Linked DNA regions of Lepisosteus oculatus. The protein of the gene in region 2 purifies or fractionates together with the protein of the main gene of each other region. This does not show direct contact. Links are inferred from orthologs where the notes say so. Each region holds a gene or a part of one and is shown on either strand. Other genes may lie near its edges.

The links. The genes of interacting proteins can lie anywhere in the genome.
Region 1: the proteins of gars1 (region 2) and gfpt1 fractionate together in Homo sapiens (co-fractionation; 3 studies listed by BioGRID, with this or other methods). This does not show direct contact. The link is inferred for Lepisosteus oculatus from reciprocal best matches to the Homo sapiens genes GARS1 and GFPT1.

The regions. Positions count from the first base shown.
Region 1 is NC_090697.1:72,531,682-72,539,543, forward strand, and holds the start of gfpt1 (glutamine--fructose-6-phosphate aminotransferase [isomerizing] 1), read right to left. Parts: upstream 3,107-7,862; 5' UTR 2,989-3,106; coding exon 2,982-2,988; intron 1-2,981. Other genes in the region: NFU1 iron-sulfur cluster scaffold homolog, mitochondrial, read right to left, coding at 5,676-5,720, 6,525-6,699, 7,157-7,220, 7,762-7,862.
Region 2 is NC_090701.1:34,440,961-34,448,655, forward strand, and holds the start of gars1 (glycine--tRNA ligase), read right to left. Parts: upstream 3,001-7,695; 5' UTR 2,953-3,000; coding exon 2,704-2,952; intron 1,014-2,703; coding exon 912-1,013; intron 1-911. UniProt on the Homo sapiens protein: Catalyzes the ATP-dependent ligation of glycine to the 3'-end of its cognate tRNA, via the formation of an aminoacyl-adenylate intermediate (Gly-AMP).

The DNA of each region.
Region 1 (7,862 bases), on a different chromosome or scaffold from region 2:
ACAAGGCCTCCATTGAGAACAGCTGGGCACTGAGACTCCTGGACTATAGGACTATGATGGTCTGGCTGAGGGTGAGGTTTCTAAAAACAAGGCTATCCTTTGTAGTGAGAAACTTTAAAGGAGGGGGATGAAGAGTGGGAGAGAGAAAATGAGAGGGACATTCTCTAGCTCAAAATAACACCTGATTTTCTATCAGGATACTAATACTCAGAACACATCACTTGTAAGAGAGTAACTGTACAGTACATGCCCTAAGGATTAAGTGTTTCTACCTGCATTATAAGATATCAATTGTGATGACTGGAAAAGCAGAAGTGCCTTACAAAATTTGTGATAAAGTGATGAATATGTCCAAAGGTCTTCCTGAGCATCCCAAAAAACACAAGCACCCCATTCCCATGCACGGATGCCTCCATCAAGTTGTTTTTGTCCATTTATAAAACTCCTTATGATTATACACAGCAGGTCATGTGCTTTCTATGCTTCTGCTTTCATGAATAACCGTCACCCTCCTTCTTGTTTATAACCTATGCAACATTGACTGATTTCTTTGCTGGCAAACGGGTTCAGTTTGCAAAAGTACAAAAAGCCACGTTATGTGAAAAGAGGAGCTTTACAAAATCACCCAGGAACCCGATCAAATCATCAGCTATATGTGATAGTGGACTGTTTCGATACAAGGTGGAGCTGGCTTGTCTTGGTACATTCTAAAGTAACTGTGTTTTTTTAGCAAGACCCAGTAGAGAATTGTCATTCTTGGGATCTTTAATCTAAACAACAAGAAACGAGTGTTTTGGATATAGCACTACTCGTCCCACAGGTACACGGAAACTAGTAACACAGTGGGATGAAGTCAAGAAACTGCCTGAGGGCTTTGTCGTTATCCTTAAGGAGTAGGTTATTGAATAGAACGAAGAGGTTCATTTCCTGTTTCTGTTATGACAATATACTGCTAATCCTAAAAACCAGCTACTGCAGTAATAAACTAGTTTCTCAAAGTATGAGAGGAAATTATCCTACCACTGATTCTACTAAACTAGGCATGTTTAAAACTGCTGTCTGTTTCTCTAGCATGAGGATTGTTATTTCAGTTTTTGGTTGCCTTTAAGCTAGACAAAATTCAAAGAATGAAGTACTATATTACACGGCTTCAGTTTTTCATGTTAGGCGTTTTAAGATCAAGAACAAAAAGTATATAAGTATAAAACAATAACACATAACTTTATTTCAGCTCTATTTTCTGCTTCATTGCCCACAATGGAGATATGGGAACAACAGCTTGGTTTAGCACTGGATGTAATCACTCATCAGAGAAAGAATGGTGGTAGGGGTTGCCACTGCAGAACCTATTTCTCACCACAGCACACAGACAAATAAACCAAGCAGTAGGTTTTGCTCAATCCTAGACAAGCAGGACTCTGCCCAGGACTCTACTGGATTCACAAGGGCAATGAGTGTCATCTGAGTTCAGACCTGCTGTGTAACTGTCCTGAAGATTTCTAAAACACACCACCTTAAAGAAGACAAATATATCTGCAATCAGCCAGTTGTGTAAAACATCCAGATCGCAACTGAGAAAATGTCTGATAGTGTAAAATGACTGCTTTCAGTTACAGCAGGACTGTAATTTCAGGTGTGCTTTTACATTTCTAAAATGCTTGTATTGTGCAAAAAAGTACAGAATGTTGAAGCTTCTGAAATAATTCTCAGTTAATTAATAGTGTGCTTAATAGTCTCAAAAGTGAAATACCTTCCACCTTCCCAACCCAATTCAAAATGGACATTGATGAGAAGAAATATCATTATGAATGGCATTCAGATTATTTCTAAGTAATGGTAACAATGTCAAGGTGTTAATGTCAACAGAGACATAAGACTCATATTATACCATAGCCATTTCCGCTTTAATGTAATGTGGAGTCTAGACAATTAACTTCCAAAAGCATTGAGTTTATATTAAGACGGACAACAGTTATCCAGATGTTTTTCTTCATCATCAGAAAAAGCAGTAAACATGCCAGTAATTAATATGAACAACAATGAGCCAGACTGCTATGGATTGTTACTCTTATTTGCATCTCTGGCAATGGTATCCAAAAGCAAGAAAAATGAAAATTAAGGCGATAGAATCCAGCGTTTTAAAATCACATTTTGTTGCTGTGTAAAGGCTAAAATGCTATGTGACCCACCGCCGCCAGCAGTTCCTACAGTACGTCTCCCTGCACAATCTCACTCATCCTTTGGAAACAAAAATCGTGCGCTCTGCTACAGTCTGTCAGATAAACACTTCTCTAAAAGAGAAGATTTTCCCTTAAGGCCCTCACAGCCCAGTTCCGCCCAGATAGTTAACCAGCCTTCTGCACATGCTGACCGAGAGCATGTTTGCAGAAAAGGAACATTAAAACGAAAGATTTACGTGCTGGAAAATGAAACAGCAGCGACTGATACTCCAACTTGTACTACAAGGTAGTAGCCAAGTGTCTATCGACTACACCCACAAACAGTGGGTATTTAGTTAAAAAAAGTGTCGTAAAAGAAACTATAAGTGTAAATACTTACGGGTTTTCCCGTGTAGTAATATGATGCATAATTCTAATCCTACTACCTGTGCCGCTCCGGAATTGTTACAGGTATTAATCATTCGAGGGTAGGGATGTTGTACTCAGGCCATGTTTTCCTAACAATATATTTCTTTATAGCCTATATCCGTCAAGCAAAGGCAGGAACATATCCGACTTGACGCGCAAATGATGTGATCGATCACAATAATCTAAACCACACTGTTCGGGTGAAGCAGGGTGATATTTTAATATGCCTATGGGACAATACAGTACAAAGACCGCAGAGGTAACTTCATACTCCTATCGAAGCAGAACACGTAATCCTTCGCACGTTGTATCTCGTCTGCCTAGAATATTATTTAAAAATTCAATATAAAAGTAATAAAGATATACCGCTAATAGTAGGCAGATTTCACTCACCACACATGTCTACGTCTTGGCTGCCAAGGCGATTCTAGTTCCTCCTCAGAAGCCTTGTTGTACAAGCCCCGCCTCATCTCTAATCCCATTGGTCACCATCCAGGTAACCACCTACATGGCCCTGTCCGATTCGTTCAAATGCTGTCACTCCCGTTACCTGGCGACGACAGCAGTTTAGACGTGGCAGCAGGATGCGCAGATCCGCCTCTACGAAGGAGAGAAAGGGAGGTCGGCGAAGGAGGGTCCTACAAGCTCACAGGAGAGACAAGGAGCACCCACTAGGCAAGATGTCAATTTCAGGTCTCTCGTTATAGCAGAGATGCCCTGGACTGCAGGATGTCGTCACATCAAAAACAGACGTGTACGTGCTTAAAGCCTTTTCTCAGACACATGCGTAACCTATTACAACATGGCTGGGTAGTTTATCCCAGACTCCACTCCGATCAAGCGCCGAATTGTGAAGTGATCCCTGATTTTAATCCTAAATGTACTTTTTCTGCGTGTGCTCCTTTGGCTTAGTTTCATTGCTGGTCCTAAAGTAGTTCTCTGGGTTGATTTTTTAAATACGTCAGTCATGTTTCCAGTTATATGCGTGTTTTACGAGTGCAGCTGTATAAATGTGTTCTCTTACTTCTGTGGCATTGCCTTTGTATCACACCCGAAAAAGGATCCACAGCCGAAACATTTCTTCTCTTTTCAGCATGGAATAAACCTTTACTTGTTCCTTTATATCATACGATTTCACGAACGGTTCCGAGGCATCTTAATTCTTTATTTTTTTCACTTTACAATTAGTTGTTTTTAGTTCATAATCCCTATTCATTTGGAATCTACCATATATGCAAAATCTGAAATTGTGGTTCACAAAAGAGACGTGGGAGATTTCAGCACAGGCCTGCGGTGTGGCATGGAGTCATGTTAGGCAATTTCAAACTGCTTGGATTATAAAGTGAAAAAAAAAAGGATTAGTCAAAGGATTCGTCTGTGCGTACAAATATTTATCCAGGTGGGTAGCTGCGTCAGCAGGCGTAGGCTGCGAAGGAACAAGTAATAGGTTTATTCCATGCTGAAAAGAGAAGAAAACAATGTTTCGGCTGTGGAGCCTTCTCTGGGTGTAAGGGGTTTCGTCTCACCCCTCTCTCGCCCTCGCACCAAATGATCGGCCACTCTGCCTCTCCCCTGCTCCTGCCTCCTCCTCTCTCCTGGCTTTTGTTTTCCCAGGCTATATTATCTTTACTGACTGCCTTATCTTTCTTAAACCCAGAGAAAGCTCCACAGCCGAAACATTGTTTCCTTTTTTCTCTTTCCAGCATGGAATCAACCAAATATTTCTCCAGTGAGAGACCTGTTCTCCGAGGATTCTCATGTATGGAAACGCCCATCTCAGCAGTGCAGTCTCCTTGTTTGTAACCTCATGTTCCAACATCCAGTGTCACCATTCTACCTTCCTCTAAAAACATGGACTGGCAAATGAAAATGTAATGAAAATAAAGGCAAACATTTTACAGAAACTAGGTGGTAAGAAATGATCTAACATTTGTTCACACTTAATGTTCTTTTGGAGTTTTCTTTCAGTGATGTGCTTTTTACTTGAGGTATCACGTGTAACACTAAAACACGCATGCATTTGTATTGCTAAATATAGGCGATCTTGTTGAGGAAACGCAAATACATTTCTCTGTAGAAAAATGAGACAATGAGATCCCAAATGCCACTTTTCTTTCTTGTTACACTTCCAATTCAAGAAATATCCCTACAATTTCAGTGTTTCTTACACAACATCTTACACAAAACAGTCTTGCATAAAGGGGCAAATCAGTTTAAAACCATATTAACAATCCCATAGACTTTTAGTCTGAATTCACAGGTAACAATTCTCATTAAAAACTTTTATCGGACACATTTCTTCTCTGTTCTGATGTGAAATAACTGGTACTGGTCATGAAACGAAGCATTTCACATATACAAAATAACTCCACATTCTGAGAATATAAGTTAATAAAAGTGACAATTTCAAGTATCTAATCAGCAAATTCTTATCTTTAACAGAAATAGTATTTACACAACTGTTTCCCAATAACATACCAAGACCATTTGATATAAATGAAGAAACAGTATATTTTAAATACATATTATAATATTTTTACTTATTTTAACTTAATTTGAAAAAAACTGGAAAATATCAGAATAAGCCATTTAAAAGCATTTTGGGCAGGAGTCCTGGCATGTGAATCACTGCAGCCAAGAATATTGGCACAATTTAGGCCTGCTTTCCTTGCAATCATTTCCATAATAAATATCAAGTCTCAATTTATAAAGCATGCAAGGAGATCTAATGAACACTTTCAACCTAAAGATTAAAAAAAACTTTCAAAAGCCTGGTTCTTCGGACACAAAAATAATGCAGCACAGAGTTGGGGGCTGTAGGTAAGCTATAGCTCTTTCTAGCACACACTGTCTGTCACTCAGTGACCTAACGTCTCCATGGTGGAGTATGGATTTTTTTTTCCTTAAAACTTAGTGTGATTCTGGCTATACATACGCACTTCCCAGAACTACAGACTCCGTCTTAAATTAGCTACATTAAAACACTGGGATGGTGGACTAGTTCCTGAACCTGCTTGATTCAACAGAAAGGGTTGAGGGGGAAAGTAGCAATGCACACATCTTAGCCAGGGCCTGATACACTCATTCTCAGGTCTTGGTCCCCTGTTCCATTTCTTCCTCCTCATCTTTTACCTGCAACAACAAAAAAAGATGAATTACAGTCATTGCCTGACACTGCCTTTGTTATTCACTGGTTGCTAGTGAAGAAATGGTTTAAGATCACTTTATTGGCCATATACAATTTCTTGTATTAGGAATTTGTATTTTTGCATACCCCAGCTTGCTCTCCATGAAACACAGACAGGGAGAGAAGCTGGGGGTCAGAGCACAGGGTCAGCCATTTATACGGCTTGCAGTACACAAACCACTCATTGCAATGCATGTTTGAAAGTCCAGTTGTGCAAATAGCACAGGCAATGGTCTACAGAGTAGCAGGAGAAATGCGATATGGACAGATGAATCATCCTTTATTATGTTCTTGAACAACGAATGATGGCACACCTGGGGCCAAGCTGAAGAACTCTACAGCCGAGCATGACACTACTATCTCGATGTCATGGCCTTCTCAGTTCACCAGATCTGAAGCCAATCGAGCATTTATTCTGCAATGGTGCTTGAGAGAGAATTTTCTTCTATTAACCAGGTATGACTTGACTGACTTTCTCATGGAAGAACAGTGCTGCATCCGTCTTATAGAACTCTAGACACTGGTAGATTCTATGTCATGGCACATAAAGGCCATACTGGTGCATGATCCCCAACACCTTAATAAAAGACTTTCAATTGTTTGTTTTTTTTTATTTTTGACCACAAAACATACATCTGTATCATTAATCATGTGTATGTGCATGTTTCCATTTCAGTGTCTGTGCCTAAACATGAACATTGGGGGTGCATCATGTTACTTTCAGTGCCTGTGTTTGTCCCGGTGCCTACCTGCTCCACTCCCTCCACCTCTGGGATGTAGAACTGCAGCATGTTCTGGATACCACTACGAAGAGTGATGACCGAGCTGGGGCAGCTGGTGCAGGAGCCCTGCAGTTTGAGCTTCACGATCCCGTCCTCAAAGCCCCGGTAAAGAACATCGCCGCCGTCTTCCTGAACTGTAGGCCTGGGAATGGAGGAAAAGAAGAGAAAAAAAGAACAGAATCAGAAACGGCAAGAGCCACTTCAACGTACAGCAGAGTTTACAGAGTCTCGCGTTGTTTCTGACTGATTCTGTGGATTCAAGTACACAAGACGATTAATCAACTGTGAAAGGCTGTGAAATGGAGGCACAATTAAAACAAAGGCACAAACTGTCCAAGGAAGGCAGAATGAATTGAAGTTTGAATATACACATTGGATTTCAAGTAGGTATCTGTGACAGCATGCATGGGCTGCAAACGAACAAGTCAAGGTTTATTCCATGCTGAAAAGAGCATGGTGACACAACCGAAGAAGGCTCCACAGCTGAAACGCTGTGGTTCCTTTCTTCCCTTTTTGGCATGGAATAAAACTTTTCTTGTTCCTATACACATTGTAGTTTATTAACAACCACCAAAACAGTACTGTTAATTAGGCAGAACCTGATGCGGGTGTCCAAAAGCTCTTTGATCATGGAGACAACTTCATCATCCTCTTCTGAGGGTGCTGCAGAGACGAGAATCACCGAGAAAAAAAAAACAGGCATTCAAACAATGTTAGATTCATGAGATTGATTGTTCTCTTGTGCAATTTACACATTTGAAATCTGAATTTTATGTGGGGCCCTGTAGCAGCTCTACTAGAAAGGGCATCAGCCTAAACACTGGTGATTTTCTCATCAAAATTCCACCTTTTGTCTCCCTTTAATGAGGGATACAGGTGCAGGCGGGGAGCAAAACTAACCAGGCACAACCAGAAATGTCAGTGAAATAGCCATAACCCTTCATGCCGTTAATTACAAAAGCAAAGAAAGAGGATGTTCAATAGTTACAGATCTCACAGTGTGGACTTATTCTGGATATTAGAATTTCTGTTTGGCAAAAGTAGTAGAAAATCCGAGGGTACATCTGGGTAACTAGTGTGAGCAACATGGCAGTATATTAGTTTGATATCAGGTCAGGTTATTAGGGAGTATTGCTGGGAAACAGCATTTATTGCCTGCTGGTCTTTTTAATACCAGAAGTACCTTCTCCAAGGGGACAGGTACCTGTATCTGCACGAGGGGTGTCCTCATTGACCACTGGCAGCCCTGAGCTGAAGAAATCCATGATGGCTGCATAGATGTCAGGCTTCATCACCTTCCACTCC
Region 2 (7,695 bases):
AAGTTCTGCAATTTAGGTATAAAAGAGAATTACAGTAGGCATGAATGTTGTGGGCAAACTGGTGGTATCTAGGCCTTTAAAGGGCAGATCAGAATGAACTGTTAAGTTTTACTGATTTCCCTGAAGATAGCATCAATAAATGAGCTATCCAAGAGGGGAAGAATCACATTCTTAATGTTCTGGGATTATGGAAAAAAATGGATACTTGCACCAAAGGTGTGGAATTAACATCATAAAGACAATGTCTTGTGGGTTAATCGAGGGGAATTAAGTTGTATGCCAACTAAGCCAGTACAAGTACATTTTTTAAAATTTGAGTTGTTTTGCAAATTATGCATTTTCCCTAAAACTGTTTTGCCACAATTGCCCTTGTGGTTATAAAAAAATGTTTTACCACTGAACAGAAAAAGGGATATAAAACTCACCCAAAAGGGGAACTTCCTTACATGGATTCAACATCAGTGATGTATATAAAAACTTTTACTGTATAAAATTCCTGCTACAGTCATGGGAGGTTTCTGAGGCAAATCCCTCTTGCATGCTTGTAAATAAAGCCTATCTGCATACGACTTCTGTGATCTCTGGAGTAGCAATTTATTTTTCCAGTACAGCAATAAGAGATAGGAAAACAGGGATTAACTCAGATATTAGTGGTAATAAGTTCTTTTTTGGCATTCATCCATTGCAAATTTATTAATGTGTTTTATTTTCTTGGCAATAAAACCAATATCTACTGCGCTAATACTGGAACCTTGCAATAAACTCAAACACTCCCCTTAAAAACTATAAAACCAGTCAGGACTTTGAGACTAAAAAAACCCACCAAAACAGTGGTGCAAAAAAACACACCTGTGCCAACTGCATGACAAACAACTGCCCTTAACATACAGTATGAAGGCAGAAATCTGTACCTTAGCCTCCAGTATCCTCTTACGGGCCTTCAACTCTGCCACGGCTTTGCTAATGTCCACATCAGGGGCATTCTCACTCTTCAGTCTGCGCACCAAGTCACCCTGGGAAGAGAACATAAACAACATCCCAACCTTTAAAAAGGTAAAATTTAGTGAAACTACATAGACATTATAAAAATTTTGAGATACTGCCATAATTAAAAAAAAAAGGATCTAAAATCAGTGCAGATTTACAATGGCAGGGTTTTATAGTGTTCTGTTTTTCAGAGTAAAGCATTCGGTGCAACCAACACTTTTGTTCTGATGTAATAATTCTAGTAGTATTAGACCGCTTTTAGTAGTATTAGATTGCTTTTAAATAATGCAATGAAATTGATCATATTTTCAATATTTTTTCCAATGATCAATGCATTTTAAATACATTTTGTTTTCATTTTAAAATCATTGCTAGGATCTCAAGTTATGACCTCAAGTTGGATCACCAATGACTAAGGACTAATGGTTTTCCTGCCTGCTCGCTTAGTTATAGAGCATCATAAACAGGCACCAAGCCCGTGGGGACTTCATTTGCATAGGTGTAAAGTTTATTTCACATTACAACTGCTGTTATTTTTTATCGCGCAGAAACAGTAAATACGGTATTACAGAGGCAGAGACCGCACCTCCAAAAGGCAGAAATTGTGATTTAAACGTTCAAAGAATTTTTTGGGGGGTTTCTTTAAGTATTCAAAGCATTTATGACATGCGCGACATTCATTCCCATGCGAGAAAACGTTCATGTCTTATAACTGTGACATTGTCAAAAGCCGACTGCAATTACACCGTGATATGTTCTTAGATAATGCAAGACACTTTTCTTAACGGCGACAAATAAATCAGTACCAAAACTGATAAAGCTGATCAAATTGGGACTTAAGCTACTCGCCACTTTTTGCTCACTAGAAAGATCTTTTTAAAGATTTCCTTTCAACAATGGGGACAAAAAACCGAACTACGCCGCTGTACGTACTACAGGGCCACAAAGATTTAATCCTGCCATGAACAACTATGAAAAGACAGGAATCGCCAACATATTCACTCCTCCCCTCTGACTTCGTGATGCTGATGGAGGCTTAAACGTGGCACTGTAGAGCCTCTGCATTGCTGATTAGACTATTTGAGCGCAACATACAGTGTATATTACCTGTACACACTTGACTCTTACACAGGTGCGCCAATTTAATAACGCGGGCACACCAGCAATCCAAAACTGCGAAATAAAGGGGTTTCCAATAATACTTAACAAGCATAACTAAACTGTAATTTCAAGTATAACAAAAAAAAATCACAACCGCACATTCCAGAACATCTGAAAGAAAGTCAGGGAGTCAGGATCTGGTATGCCGCTGAACTGATATTTTCAAAAAATAATGCAAAATGAGATGGTTCAGATCTTTAAGCCATGCTAACGTGTACTGCATGTCTTTATATACGTTTTACATGCCCTTCGTCTTGGGTTGTATTGATTGGTGATTTTAAAGAACATCGAGATTACTGACTCAATCAGGAAACTGATGCTTTTATTGTCCACATTAAAGATTCACCTGACAATGCATCGAGGGAGGTCAAATGTCAAAGTAACATTAATATTCGACGTTCCACACATATATATATATTAATCAACATGTCCAGGAGTTGTGATCTCTCGTTTAAAACTTAATTTGGCAGTACAGTTAATAGGCCGTAACAGCATCAATTATGACAAATAATAGCAGCCCGAATACCGGAACTTAACCGTTCATTATTGTCCCACCTGCTCTTTCACTGCCTGTCTCAGAGGAGCCAGCACCTCTTCGATATTGCCGTCCATACTTCTTCCTCTTGCAAGCTGTTGCCAAAGGCTTTCCTTGTTTTTCTTCAACAAGCAGGCCGACAAAGAGAAGAGCCTGTGTTCGTGCGGACGGTGGAGCCGATGCGGCGCTGACAGTGCCCTGGGTGCTACAAAGAGAGCAGCAGTCTCGATGCAGGACCTCAGCAGGGCGGGTGCAGCTCTCAAACGCATGGACCGAAAAGACCGGTAGTAGTGAAGCAGGGACAGAATGATGAAATCTCAGGAAACAAGTAAACAAAGGGCCTACACACGATCAGCACTTTCGCTGCAGCGCTGCTGCTTTTTCCACTAGGAAAAATTAGCTCTAGCAGGTTCGACGAAAAAAGAGGACCCACGTTTAATCTTACTTGAATGGCTATATATAACCTAAAACTCATTTCATAATCGAAAAAGGTTGGAAAAGGTTTTATTTCAATCACAATAAATGTTAACATTAACGACCTGTTCTAGTTTGAAGCAGCAATTAAAGCTAAAATCATCACAATTAAGAGAAGTACACAAACAAATTTGAATTTATCTGGTGCCCTAGAATCTAATTTAGAAATGTAATATTTTGATTTGCATTTATATCCACTGTTGATAAGTTATATCTGTTCTCGAATCATTTTTGTTTCTATTTACATCCCTTTTAGTATATTTTTGAGAATATAATGGTTGATCTTTTTTTTAATTTTGGTATATTTTAAAATATTTTTTAAGGTTCTCTCGTACAAACCCCCAGATGAACTCTGTATTTTTGCATATGACTTAAAACTAAGGTGGTTTTTCCAGTTTAACATTGTAAATAACTGCCAATGTTCTTATTTCTATAGAAACGTATATTCAATTGAATACTGTATGTGAAACCACATGAGATCTTTTGTAATGGAAATAACTTGACACTTTCTTGGGTTATAAAAGAGGCAGTCAAAAAGAATACTCAGTCCAATATAAAAATCAAATAGTGTAAATAATTCTTTACTCAAAAAAAAATATTTTGATTTCTTTGAGAGTTGCCAGTGGGAATGGGGTAATTTCTGGGAAATGTCACTGTAAAACGTCTGAGCTATTTCCTTTGCTCGGTGAATTCTGTTCTTTATCTCAACCGACGTCACACTTCCCTCCTCTTACTTTCAAACAGAAGTAAGCAAAACAAAATAAATCCTACATCACATTTTAGGAATCTAAGGTATTTCATTTTCTACAACACAGCTTACAATGAACAACTGCCTCATTCTAGAAAATGAAAACAAAAATGCTTCTTGGATAGGAGTTGCATTCCACCTTGTTCACATTTTCTCTTCAAAACCACAGACCTCTTACTGCGATTCTGGCAACCAGCTTGTCTCGGCTCTGTCCAGTATACACAATGTGACTCGTGCACTTTTCCATGTGGCTGCATCATTACTGAAGGCAACAGTCATAGGAGGAGTAGGGCTTGATTAATGTAGTTGTATCTGTATTTGGAACAGATAGCTCGCTGTATCACCTGCAAGTACACAGCCACCACCACACTCATTCAAGGCCCCTCAGGACAATTCCGGATCACCCAGACAGCATCTTGTACCTCCAGCAACCTTATTTACTGTATCTCTTGCAGTAAATGCCCAGCCATCTACATTGGAGAAACAGGAAGGAGACTCAGAGACCGCTTCAGAGAACACGTCAGGGCTGTGAAGATTAAAGATCTCTCCAAGCCCATTGTTTCTCATTTCACCTCTGACAGCCACGACCACACTAATCTCTCCGTCTGTGTTCTCAAAGACGGTTTTCCGAACTCATACATCAGAAAGACCACCGAAACTAAAATTATTCTGCAGTTAGGATCACACATTCTCCCTTCCCTTAACGACAGATTACTGTTCTTTTAAATTTTCTCCATTCATTGGAAGCTTCATTTCACACCTCTCTGCACCCATTCTGACTTCACACCTCTTGATTGGCCTCTCTTTCTGTCCCCTGCTCCCGCCTCTCACTCCTCCTCCCTCCCAACCTTTGTTCTCCCGCTACTTTACCTTTGCCTACTGCCCTGTCTCTCTCACACCTGAAGAAGGCTCCACGGCCGAAACGTTGTGTTCTCTTTCTTCTTTTTTTCAGCATGGAATAAACCTTTTACTTGTTCCTCTGTATTTGGAATGCCTTCTTCTGCTTAAGCAAGGCACTGTTATTCACAGTTTTTAATAGTGCTGGTCTGATCTGCCATTGGTGCTAATAATAATAATGTAACGCAACGGGGGCTCAGGCGGGCACCCTTGCCGCATCTGGTCGGCCCCTCCACCGTCCGGGGCTCGAACCCGGGACTTCCGCGTCTCTCTGCAGCGACCTAGCCCCGTGAGCTAAAGAGAGATCTCTCCACAGCCCAGTAGCTGTAGTCCTGCTATCACAGGGAAGGGCGGTGACGTCACCTGCTCTGGTACGCCAGCTCTTACACAGTACCTGTCGGCCGTAAGCGTTACACTCTCCCCCGCTTAAATCGCCGTCCCCGGCGAAGGGCTATCCCACCCCGCTTCTGACACCAATGTAACGCAACGGGGGCTCAGGCGGGCGCCCTTGCCGCATCTGGTCGGCCCCATCCCGACTGGAGGCTCGAACCCGGGACTTCCGCGTCTCTCTGCAGCGACCTAGCCCCGTGAGCTAAAGAGAGATCTCTCTACAGCCCAGTAGCTGTAGTCCTGCTATCACAGGGAAGGGCGGTGATGTCACCTGCTCTGGTACGCCGGCTCTTACACAGTACCTGTCGGCCGTAAGCGTTACACTCTACAGACACCAATGTAACGCAACGGGGGCTCAGGTGGGCGCCCTTGCCGTGGTGTCAGAAGTGGGATGGGATAGCCCTTCGCCGGGGACGGCGATTTAAGCAGGGGAGAGTGTAACGCTTACGGCCGACAAGCACTGTGTGTAAGAGCCGGCGTACCAGAGCGGGTGACGTCACCGCCCTTCCCTGTGATAGCAGGACTACATCTACTGGGCTGTAGAGAGATCTCTCTTTAGCTCACGGGGCTAGGTCGCTGCAGAGAGACGCGGAAGTCCCGGGTTCGAACCTCCAGTCGGGTTCGAGCCCCGGACGGTGCAGGGGCCGACCAGATGCGGCAAGGGCGCCCGCCTGAGCCCCCGTTGCGTTACAATAATAATTGGTTACTCACTTCTAGACACTCCACTCAAAGCGCTTCACAGGTAATGGGGACTCTGTACCATACTGCAGCAGAACGCCATTAAATATTCCTGGGCGTTTCTTGAAAAGAGTAGGGGTGGAACCCCAGCGTCCTGGCCAAATTTCCAATCATGGCCTCCTAATAATCCCCATCTATGAATTGGCTTCATTGCTCTGTTCTCCTCCCCACTGATAGCTGATGTGTGCTGAGCATACTGGTGCACTATGGCTGTGGTTGCATCATCCAGGTGGGGCAGCACATTGGTGGTGGTGGAGGGGAGTCCCCATTACCTGTAAAGCGCTTTGAGGAGTTTCCAGAAAAGTGCTATGAAAGTGTTAGGAATTATTATTATTTAACATTTAGATACAGTAGATTACAGCCAATATCAGCAAATCCTAAAGAGAAAAATCTGCTGATTGCATAAGTATTCAGATCTGTGAATTAAATATTAGGTGGGTTTGTCTACAATTATAGCTGCAAGTTTTTTGGTCTAAGTCTATATCAACTTTTCAAACTGGCCTGCTGTAATTTTCCTGTTGGCTCAAACACTCTCAAGTTACTTGAGGATTGCTTATGGACAGTAGTTTTAATAATAATAATAATAATAATTGCTTACACTTATATAGCGCTTTTTCTGGACACTCCACTCAAAGCGCTTTACAGGTAATGGGGACTCCCCTCCACCACCACCACCAATGTGCAGCATCCACCTGGATGATGCGACGGCAGCCATAGTGCACCAGAACGCTCACCACACATCAGCTATCAGTGGGGAGGAGAGCAGAGTAATGAAGCCAATTCACAGAGGGGGATTGTTAGGAGGCCATGATTGATAACAGCCGATGGGGAAATTTGGCCAGGATGCCGGGGTTACACCCCTACTCTTTTCGAGAAACACCCTGGGATTTTTAATGAGCACAGAGAGTCAGGACCTCGGTTTTACATCTCAGCCGAAGGACGGCACCTGTTTACAGTATAGTGTCCCCGTCACTACACTGGGGCATTAGGACCCACGTGAGCCGCAGGGTGAGCACCCCCTGCTGGCCCCACTAACACCTCTTCCAGCAGCAACCTTAGGTTTTCCCAGGAGGTCTCCCATCCAGGTACTGACCAGGCTCACACCTGCTTAGCTTCAGTGGGTTGCCAGTTGTGAGTTGCAGGGTGATATGGCTGCTGTTTTGAAGTCTTTCCACAGATTCTTAGTATGATTCAAGTCAGGACTTTGACTGGACCACTCAGGGACCTTCACTTTCTTACTGTTAAGCCCCTCCAGTGTAGCTTTGACCTTGTGTTTTTCATTATTGTCCTACTGGACAATACTGTCCTAGTTTAGAGTAGGTAGCAAGTTTTCGTCTAAGATTTGCCAGTTCTTTGTTCTATCTATGTTCCCATCAGTCCTGACAAGCTTTCCAGTCTCTGCTGATGAAAAACAGAACTATAACATACTGCTGCCACCACTATGCTTGACAGTACGAATGGTGTTGACTGAGTGATGCACTGTGCCGATTTTCCATCATATGTAACACTTTGCTTTTAGACCACAAAGTTTCATTTTTGTCTTGTCTGACTGCAAAGCCTTTTTCCACATGTTTGCAGTCTTACTTACATGCTTTATTGCAAACCCCATTGGGAATCTGAGATGGCTTTTCCACTGTGCCATACAAGCCAGCTTTGTGAAGTGACTGGGATATTGTTGTTTGCACATTTTCTCCCATCCCAGGCATTCAACTCTCCAGCTCATTCCAAGACACTGTTGGACTCACAAGTTGCATAGTTGCATTCC